Regions from separate parts of the Mus musculus genome. Here region 1 is reported to be linked to region 2. The links are microRNA targets in miRTarBase. Many come from high-throughput screens and were not tested one by one. Region 2 holds a microRNA gene; the other region holds the end of a gene's coding sequence.
The links. The annotated mature microRNA mmu-miR-615-5p reads GGGGGUCCCCGGUGCUCGGAUC and lies in region 2 at 2,037-2,058, shown strand. An mRNA with a match to its seed (bases 2 to 7 or 8) in the 3' UTR can be bound and repressed. Matches are read on the target gene's strand: a 7mer-m8 pairs with bases 2 to 8, a 7mer-A1 pairs with bases 2 to 7 and ends in A, and an 8mer does both.

Region 1: miRTarBase lists Coq3 as a target of mmu-miR-615-5p. Seed matches in the 3' UTR shown: 7mer-m8 at 4,236-4,242.

The regions. Positions count from the first base shown.
Region 1 is chr4:21,910,206-21,915,518 of GRCm38, reverse strand. Coq3 (coenzyme Q3 methyltransferase) reads right to left here. Exons shown (of 7, transcript NM_172687.2): 7 at 3,356-5,100. The coding sequence ends at 4,880. Among named protein-coding and RNA genes, the nearest start is that of Faxc, 18 kb to the left of the region's middle.
Region 2 is chr15:103,012,890-103,018,265 of GRCm38, forward strand. Mir615 (microRNA 615) reads left to right here and starts at 2,021; the gene lies at 2,021-2,112. Hoxc5 (homeobox C5) reads left to right here and starts at 1,119. Exons shown (of 2, transcript NM_175730.5): 1 at 1,119-1,646; 2 at 2,339-4,540. The coding sequence starts at 1,193. The coding sequence ends at 2,553. It also overlaps a transcript of Hoxc4 not described here.

The sequences.
Region 1 (5,313 bases), not on the chromosome of region 2:
TGGCCTAGCCGGCCATCACTGGGAAGAGAGGCACCTAGGTCTTGCAAACTTTATTTGCCCCAGCACAGGTATACAGTGGGTAGGGGAGTGAGGGGGGGGGGGTATAGGGAACTTTAGGAATAGCATTTGAAATGTAAATAAAGAAAATATCTAATAAAAAAAAAGAAATTGTTTTTACTTAATGATATTCAACCCTCAGCACTGAACAACATGTGTACAACTGAAATAAATAGTAATCTCTTTCTAAAATATGTTTGGGGAGAACATTCTAATCAATTCCCAAAATACACATTCCTTTTCTTAAAAAAATATATATGTATACGCCTTTAATCCCAGCACTTGGGAGGCAGAAGCAGGCTGATTTCTGAGTTCAAGGCCAGCCTGGTCTACAGAGTGAGTTCCAGGACAGCCAGGGCTATACAGAGAAACCCTGTCTCAAAAAAATAAAAAAAGATATATATATATATATATATATATATATATATATATACATAATAACACCACACACACACACACACACACACACAACTTGCCAAACTCTGCTCCCTCCAGTGTCACTCCCTCATCCCCTCTCCCCTTCTCCTCTGAGAGAGTGGGGCAGCTGTGTGTCTGCATTTCCACCTCGCTGGGGCTGTCCACTCAGGGGAGGCAAGAACTCAGTCTAAGACAGCCTTACCCTGTGTTTCTCCAGATGAAAGACAGTGGAGGTTGGGGTGGAGGCTGTGGCTCTCAAACTCCTGTGCACCTAGACACCCCTGGGAACCCTGAGTTGAGAATCGGAGCCTGCTGGCCAGTGCTGCGCCTAGGACAGAGATGAATCCGGCTTACCTCCGAGTGTCATGAGTTCAGGGGGGCGGGGAGAGGGGGGCTTCTACAGTAGACTCAGGCACAGCTCTGTATGAAGAAGGCCTCCCCTGCAGCCGTCCTTGATGAAGCAGATAATCCTTGCCTGCCCAAACTGTTACATTCGTGACGGATGAAGATGCATACATCTTACTCCGGGTGGACCAAAGATTACATACCTTTTGAAGGAAGGATGCTCAGGAAGGAGAATTCATTAGATAGGCTAAACGCTCGGGGCCTATCTAGATACATCATTAGCATGGAGAACCTTGGGTTCTATGCTATGAGATTGGTTGTCATGGTCCTCTTAGTGGGGTGTTGTGGTCATGTGCTCCTGGTCAGGATCTAGTTTGAACTCCTGCCGTTCTGTTATGAAATTTACCAGGATTCTGAATTTGTTACCACCTTACCAATTTTTCTATCTGGTGGCATAGTCTACTGCCGCACAGACTGCCCCTGGGTATCCCCCAACCTTGCAGCATCAAGTCTCTGCAGGATTAGTCATAACTTCTCCCACTGAGGCCAGACAAGGTTTCTCTGTTGGGGAAGGGATTCTACAGACAGGCTTTAGGGTTAGCCCCATTCCAGTTGTTGGGGGACCCACATGGAGACTAAGCTACATGTCTGCTAAGTATGTGCGGAAGTGGGGTTGGGGGTGATCCAGCTCGTGTATGCTCTTTGGTTGGTGGCTCAGTCTCTGAGTACACATTTCTTAATACCAACATTTTTTATTCCAACAAGTAGAATAAAGTAGCTTGATTTATTTTAATAAGAACATTCCTAAAGTTCAGCTTATAAATAAATCATCTTCTCATTCTTATGAGTTGTATTTTGAAACACGGTCACATGTAATCCAGACTGGCCTTGAACTCACTATGTAATTACAAATGACTTATGGTGGCTTGAATGGGAATGGCCCCCATGGACTCTTATGTTTGAATGCTTGGTCATTATATTTGACAAGTGAGGTGTGGTCTTGTTGGAGTAGGTGTGGCCTTGATGAAGGAAACTTGTCACTGGGACTGGGGCCTTGAGGTTTCAACTGCTAAAGCCAGGCCCAGTGTCTCTCTCTTCCTTCTTCCTTCAGATCCAGATAGAGAAATCTCAGCTACCACGTCTGCTACTGAGACTCTATGCGCCCTCCTATGATGTTAATGAACTAAACCTCTGAAACTATAAACCAGCCCCAATTAAATGTTTTCCTTTATAAGAGATATTGCAGTCATGGTGTCTCTTCACAGCAATAGAACACCGACTAAGACAACCCTGAAGTTCTTTTTTTTTTAGGTTTTTCGAGACAGGGTTTCTCTGTGTAGCCCTGGCTGTCCTGGAACTCACTCTGTAGACGAGGCTGGCCTCGAACTCAGAAATCCACCTGCCTCTGCCTCCCAAGTGCTAGGATTAAAGGCATGCGCCACCACGCCCGGCTAACCCTGAAGTTCTAATGCTCCTGAATCTACATGAGTGTGTGCTACTACCCTTGACTCAGGATCACAGTTTACATGTGTGCAAGTACACATCTGCCAAGCTGTACGTATACAGGTCAGAGGGTCACTTGTGGGACTCTGTTTTCTCCTGTCACCATGTGAGTCCCAAGGATCAAACTCAGACTGAGAGGCATGGCGGTAAGTGCTGGGGTGCCGTCTCCCTGGCCCAGAATCAAAGGGTCAAAGGGAGTCGTAAGATTCACATTGTTCACCCTAATTACTCAGAAGAAAAATTTCTCTCCTCTTCTGTCTTTTTTTCCTTCTACTATTTTTTTGTTGCTTTGTTTTAAAATATGTCTCTGCTGGAGAGATGGCTCAACAATTAAGAGCTCTAGCTGACTGCTCTTCCAGAGGACCCAGATATCCAAGCACCCACCTGGCAGCTCACAACTGTCTATAACTCTAGTTCCAGGGGATCTGTCACCCTCACACAGGCATACATGCAGGAAAACCACCAAAGCAAAGCAAATAAAAATTAAAATAAATAAATCATTAATAAAAAAAATAGGTTTCACTGTGTATCTCTGGCTGGAGCTCCATGGAGCTCATTCTGGCACTGAGCTTCCTAAATCCTGAGGTCACAGGCATGTGCCATACCTGGCTCTCTTCTAGTGTTCCAAATTTCAGTTTTGTCCTTGTAAATGACACTAAGAACAGAGGAAATGTTTGTCTAAACTGTTATTTGTCTACACTAAGCATACGAACCTAAAAGTGAAAGGGGCTCTAGCTTAGACACAAGCTGCAGCATGAAACACTGGTTTCCCATCTACGTCACTCAGCAAATGCCCCCTGTGGATGTCCTTGCATAGCATCTGGTCTTTGAGAAAAAAGCCAGCTTCACGTATTTCAAGCGGAGAAAAAAACTTCACTTTAGCACTTTTAATTACATATAATAATAACTGTAGAAAAAATTCTCAAAACTAAATTTTTAAAGTAACTTACAAAATTCCTTAAAACATAAAAATTAAAGTTACTACACTAATTGCTTTTCTGTTGCTATGATAAAGCACAATGGCCAAGGCAACTCATAGAAGGAAGGGTTTATTTGAGGCTGACAGTTACAGATGTGTGGGAGTCCGTCACCATCATGGCAGGGAGCATGGCACAGGCAGGCATGGCGCAGGAGCAGCTGCTGAGAGCTCACACCCAAGCCATAAGCAGGAAGCAGACATCATACTTGGAATGACAGAAGTCTTTTGAAACCTCAGATCCCACCACCAGTGACACACATCCACCAAGATCATATCTCCCAATTGTTCCCAGTTTCACCAAATGAAGATCAAGAATTTAAACATACAAGCCTACGGGGAACATTCTCATTGAAACCACCACCAGTTATTTTTATTAATTTATATGTATGGTTATTTTGCCTATATGTATGTATATCACACGAGTGCCTGCCAAAGCCATGGAGTCTGATCCCTGACAACTGCAGTTGTAGATAGCTGTGGCCCATCATGGGGTGCTGGGGATAAAACTCAGGTCCTTTGCTGGAGCAACCAGCGCTCTTAACTGCTGAACTATCTCTCCTGTTCCTGGACATAACATTTTCAAAGAACAGCATACGGAACTAAGTCCTATACATGAAACATTACCTGAACTTCTTTTAATGTTTGAATTCAAATCTACCATGTATTTAATAACTCATTTATTTCCAGAATCCCATTTTTCTGTAGGATAAAGTGTATTTTATTTATATAGCGGAGAAAGTAGCTCCTCGCTAGCCGAGGCACTACTGGCATTTGATAGCTGCTGGTAAAAGGCAACTTCCTTTAATGCTGTGATCTCTGGTGTATCAACCACACTCCAAGGTAGGCCCTATACTCAAGAGAAGATGGTCAACACAAACTGAACTCAGCTAAAGAGATGGCTCAGTGGTTAAGATCACTGACTGCTGCTCTTCCAGGGGTCCTGAGTTCAAACCCCAGCATCCACGTGAGATCTGACAACCTCTTCTGGTGTATCTGAAGATAGTGATACTGTACTTACATATAACAAATAAATATTTAAAAAAGAAACACACAAACTGAACTCAATTAAGGGAGGGAGGGGAGAAGAGACGGAAGGAGAGAGGGAGGTACACGTATGCTCACTACCCTAGGTTTAAAATATATTTTGTACTCCCAAATATCAGTGATTAAAAACTAGAGCTGGTTTTTGTTTTTTGTTTTTTGGGTTTTTTTTTATCAGTCAAGGGCATTGTATCTTTAACTAAAATAAAGGAATACCATAGACAACAGAGATTCCAGTTGAAATCAATAAATATCAGCATATGTTTCTGTTTACACATGTGAGAAATGCCTAACATGTAAATGAAATGAACACACACTTTTCTACAGTAAAAGCATAGAGACCTTAAGCACACGTGACAAAACCTCACCAGAAAATTCTTCAAAGTGTCTCTTAGGTGACACAGAAATTTTTCTCCATTGATTTAGATATTTTTATTGACCTTTTGTTCTTCAAAATCTCTCCCGAAATGGAGTAAGATTTTTGACTTTGTAAACAACACAATTTCAAGTATATTTACTGCTGTCCTTGGAGGCACCTCATGTCCTCTGCTCCTCCCGTACACTGGGGCTACCGGAGGTGTTAGCATGGAGTGCTCCTGTTTCCCCCTTTAAAGCAGACTCAGCAGGCTCCTGGTGCTCCTGAGCCCTGGATCTCACAGCATGGGCTGCATAGTTAAGGCTGGTATTTTCACTCCAATGCCAGTAACCTGAGAAAGGATTATAGACCAATCCTGCCACAGTTTCAACTGACAGACCATCTGAAAAAAAAAAAGAGAAAGAAATCAAATAACTTGGACTCAATAAACATTTACCATTCAAACCACAAGAATACACAGTCACTCTTCATATTAACATAAAGTAAGCAACTTAATGAACAACAAGGCTTTGCAGTCATGCTTGATCATTCTTAACTGCAAGTAAGAATACACACTCCAAGCCCAGCTCTGACTACTGTAGCGGTCCCCTTCTGA
Region 2 (5,376 bases):
CCCGACTCCCTGCCTGCCCACCCACCTCCCCATGAGCCTTCTATCTTGAAACCTGGGCTAAGAGCTTACCTCTAAAAGAACAAAAGCAGACTTTTATCTCTGCCTTGCTCATAATATTTGTGGAGGTTTCAATCTTGCCCCTCTATGCTCTTGGGGGTCATCTGAAATATCTGGCATTCTCATGGTACCACATGAAGACCACACAGAGCTGTAGAAGGGCCCTCCAGTTCATTGTGTCTAGTTACATGCATAGGAATGTTGCCTCTTGCAACATGTTAGGGTTCCTAACATTGTGAAGTCTACCCAAGTTCACCTGGCCCCTCACCTCCAGTCACATCCCAGAGAGTACCTAGGACTCTCAGCCTCAGGACCTGTCTGCTGCTTCTGCTCATTCAGGAACCCTCTCTCCTCTTGGGTATCCTGCCTACCTCCCAGAGGTTAATTTTTCCAAGCATACAAGACAAGCTTCTCTTTATCAAAACTGAGTTCAATCCTCCCAAGCAAGAGACCTTGACCTTTAGTTTAGGTAACCCAAGATATGTCCTCCTGGCTCTCCACGCTGGGCTTTAGCTACCCCAACTCTCTTTCTCAGTCATCATTGAAGTTTGGAAGGCTCTGGAGGTAGGGAACTGGCACTATTCGTTTCAAAAACCACCGGTGTAATTCATAAATAAGGCCTCATCCTTTCTCAATTTTAAGCAGAATTTTAAAGACAAGCTCAATGGGTTAGTTTGTCCAACAAGCAACAACTTCTCCACAAACTGACTGCTAGAAGGCCAAGCGATGCTACAAGATGAAATTCCTCCGAGTCGGCACCAGGTGTCGCTGTGAGCTCGTTGTCCCGACTACCCCCCAATTCCAAGAACCATTTTTTTTTCCTCCCCCTTGCTTCTCTTTCTCTTTCATCCCCCCCCCCCCAACCCCCGGGCTTTGCCAACATATCAAGATGCGTTTCGCCGGCTTCCATCACTAACCTCCCGGAGGTCATCAAGCCAAATTTATGAGTGGCCGCTCCAGTCACGTGACTCTATTTAAGGCTCCCTTATTTGGGAAGAGCGCATAGGATAAAGAAAGAGATATCTCCACCTATAAATTGTGCACTTTGGAGAACAAAAACCCCCTCAACTTCAAAGAGTCACAAATCACCCTTAATCAAAAAGGGTGCAGAAATTTTTTTTGGGCCCTCCCCGCCATGAGCTCCTACGTAGCCAATTCATTCTATAAGCAGAGCCCCAATATCCCTGCCTATAACATGCAAACTTGTGGGAACTATGGATCGGCCTCAGAGGTGCAGGCATCCAGGTACTGCTACGGCGGATTGGACTTAAGCATCACTTTCCCACCGCCTGCGCCTTCCAACTCTCTCCACGGGGTAGACATGGCTGCCAACCCCCGGGCTCACCCCGACCGCCCCGCCTGCAGCGCCGCGGCCGCTCCGGGACACGCTCTGGGCAGAGACGAAGCGGCTCCTCTGAACCCTGGGATGTACAGTCAGAAGGCGGCTCGCCCGGCGCTGGAGGAGCGAGCTAAGAGCAGTGGGGAGATCAAAGAGGAGCAGGCGCAGACAGGGCAGCCTGCCGGACTGAGCCAGCCACCGGCCCCGCCACAGATTTACCCGTGGATGACCAAACTGCACATGAGCCACGGTAAACTTTAGGACTTCATTTTGCGCGCTCGGGTCCGCCTGGGTTTTATAGGCCATGCGGGGCAAATAAAGAAAAAAAACCTGCGGCCATAAATTTTACGATCCAGGCATCAATGGCTCGTAAAACTGTCCACTAAAAGGCTTAGAGGCTGTGTGCGCCCAAATTTACGACGACATAATTGGATCATAGGAACAAAACGTGTATAAAAGGCAATATTCAATTTTGGGGGGAGAGGGAGGGAGTTAAAAAAATAGAGGGATCTGAAGGGTGAGGAGCATGGGGCTCCAGAGTGGGGATCCCCCCGCGGCTCCCTCCCTCCCTCCCCTGCGGAGCCGGCTCGGCCAGTGCTCGCGGCTCCGGAGGATTCCAGCGACTCGGGAGGGGCGGGAGGGGGGTCCCCGGTGCTCGGATCTCGAGGGTGCTTATTGTTCGGTCCGAGCCTGGGTCTCCCTCTTCCCCCCATCCCCCCTCAGCCCCTCCGGCCGCAGAGTGAAGGCGGCGGTGGAAAGTTTCCTGCCCAGGCGGAGGCGCTTCTCCCGGGACCGGGCCTGCCCGCCTGCGGCCCTTCTGGCCTGTCCCACCGCGCTCACCTCTACTCCCTCCGACCACGGGTGGGGCCTGGGACTAGGGTGGGACGTTGGAGTGCTGCACGCTATTCATCCCTCCCTGGTTTGGGGGAATTTATGTTCCAGAGACGGATGGCAAGCGGTCCCGAACCAGTTACACGCGCTACCAGACCCTGGAACTCGAGAAAGAATTCCATTTTAACCGCTACCTCACTCGCCGCAGGCGCATAGAGATTGCCAACAACTTGTGTCTCAACGAGAGACAGATCAAGATCTGGTTCCAGAACCGCAGGATGAAGTGGAAGAAAGATTCCAAAATGAAGAGCAAAGAAGCTCTTTAGAGGAAGCAGGGAGCCCTCAGAGAGCACCCCGGTCTGCTGTGGTCCCTGCGCCCTTCCTTTTCGGTTTTCCTCCTTCTAGATTTTGAGGCGGAGGCTAGAGCACTGGCTCCGGGCCTCCCAGACAAAAGCGCATTTCTTTGGCATTCCGAATCCCCATCGACCCAGGGTTCCGCAGGACCGCCTGCACTGCCTGTCTTGCCTCAGCTCAGCTGAGCACCCCAGGCCCGGGGCACATTCTTGTAGGGCGGGTACTGGATAAGTCTCAGCCTGGGCTGCCTCTCTCGGCTCCGAGCCCTAGTTCAGCTAGCCTGAGTTAAGGTGAGACAGACTGACTGTAACCCCTTCTCCCCGACCTCCGCCTCACCCTCTTCTTTGTTCCTGCCTAGGCTGACCAGCCTGCTGAAGGCTGGTTGTGCCAGGCAGAGGCTATGACTAGCTAGAATCGGGGTGCTTTCAACTAACCTTTGTAACTTCTAAACTGTCTTTGCTCATTAATTATTTGCATATGAAAGAGGGAGATAAGTGAAAGTGGGCCTGTAACCCCGGAGGTTGTCCTATGCTCTCTATACCTTCCAATCCCCTTCCCAAAGCCCGGGAACTTCCCTAGCCTGGCTTGCTGCATGCACTCTCAGGTTCACAGTTCCAGCCTGCTAGCTAGCTCAACTATTGGGGTCTCTTGTCTTTGGACCCTAGCAAGTTGTTCTTTGAGGCTTTTTGCTATCCTATATATCTTGCCATGACTTTCTCACCTTCCTGCCCCATTGCAGTTGCCCAACTATTTATTGACTCCAAGCCCTTCCTGAAACTATATTTTGTCATATCAAATAAAGCCAGAAAAAGAACAGGACTAAAGATTCAATTACTTCTGTCTGTTTAGGGCATGCATTGAATTGATGTGTCTAAATAGGCTCTGAGATGTATTGGGAGGCCCAGTCTTTAAACCATCCCTTAAAAAATATTTTTAAACACCTTTAGGAGCAGCAAGAATAGGGAACAATGGAACTGAGTTCTTTTCTTGATTCATGGTTCCAAGAAGGGCCTCTGGGGTGAAGGGGAGTACACTTGAGGACTCCTGTACTGTTGTTTCCACTTGCTGTGTGTGTCTAAGTTACCCAGACTTTTCTATATCCTATTCTCAACGTTGGCTAAAACAACTTGAGACTTGAAGCTTCTAGACTGTAGTCTGTACTTTATGCCAGAGAATAGTAGCTCTGTGGCTCCACTGACTTAGATTCAGGCTCTTCTGGGTCTAGGTCATCCTTGTAGGTCCTTTCTGACATAGAAGAAAGGTTGAGTCCTCTGTCTAGATGCCAGAAGGATTCGCAGCAATAGTAGGTGCTGCTTGGTAAAGAGGTGTTGGGGAAGGAGAAATGGCCACGGTTTGAGATGTTCTTCAGCCTTCTAAGATATGGGATGGGGCAAGGGGGACTAAGGAGACAGTGAATGCAACCTGCAGTGTGTGCCTGCCTTAGAGAAAACATACAGACTGCTCCCTGTCTTCTAGGGTCTAAGCCAATGAAGGACAGTTAACTGGAATAAGAGCTGTATAGATCAGTGTGGGAGCCATGCCTGTTTGCTGTCATCTATCATATCTCTGAGATTTTGTATACAGGGGGAGGGTGCCCTATAGGAGAGGGTATGCAGCTAATTCAGGTGGGGCTGGCCTAGGCTGATGCGCTGCTTAGCTCCACTCCAGGCTCCAGGACTTGTTGAAGGAGGAAGTACTTTACAGGAGAAACAAACGCACGGAATGGGCCCATAAAACCTTACTGCATTTCCTCTCCAGCCTTCCACAATGGGGTGATTTCCTGGAGCCAAGCCTAGGCCCCCCACACTGGAGGAGTGGGGAATCTGAAACTGGGCTAAGGGCTGCTCTACACTAGGACAGAAAGGAAACAGAGTGGCTCTGGGGAGGGGCAGGGAGATTCCTTTTTATGATTATTAATGCTTATGCTCTTTGAATTTATTAAAGGTCTGACTTCACTGCATCCCACTGTCTAAGCAATTGTGTCTGTCACTTTTAGAAGACTCAAGAGCCTGTCCTCATCCCATGCTTAGCATGTAGGAGGTCTCAGCACATGTTTGTCAAGCTGCACCCCATTACCACCCTTCCCTTTGCTCTGTGCTCAGGCAAGGTTAGAACACTGCTAAAATCTCCCCTCAACTTGCACCCTGCAGACATGCAGCCCAGCCCCAACCAACCAACCCTCCTCTCTCTCTCTCTCTCTCTCTCTCTCTCTCTCTCTCTCTCTCTCTCTCTCTCTCTCTCAGAGACAGCCAGAGAGAGAGAGAGAGAGAGAAATAAAATGTGTGGTTTTCTTCAGGGAGTTATTTTAATTTTTTCTACATGCTGCGTAAAACTATTGGGTGAGCATTGAAGCATGAAGAAGCACTGGCAGCTCAGATGGGTAACAGTTAAATAAGGAAGAGGTTATGGTGCCCAAACTCACTGGTTCCAGCCTCCCAGACTTCAGGGGGACTCATGCTTCTTCCCCAGGGGGGCACACCAGGGCTTGATGGGAAGGGAATAAGGGTGATATTGATCAGACCAGACTGGCAAAGTTCATCAGCACTCTATGAGTTTTATCTTCCCCCCCCCCCCCCCCCCCGCCTTTGCAGGCATGAACCTCTTATTCCCTGGAGGAGCTAGCTGAAGGACTGTCTCAGCTTGCCCAGGCTTGAGGGGGTGGGACTGTGCCTCCAGCTCCCTTCCTTTCTGTCTCAGGTTTGAGCCACAGCTGCAGCAGTTCAGCAGAGGCAACCAAGGCAGAAGACACAAAGCCAGAGGCCTCAGACCTCCCCTTCACTGGGGGCGGGGGGAGG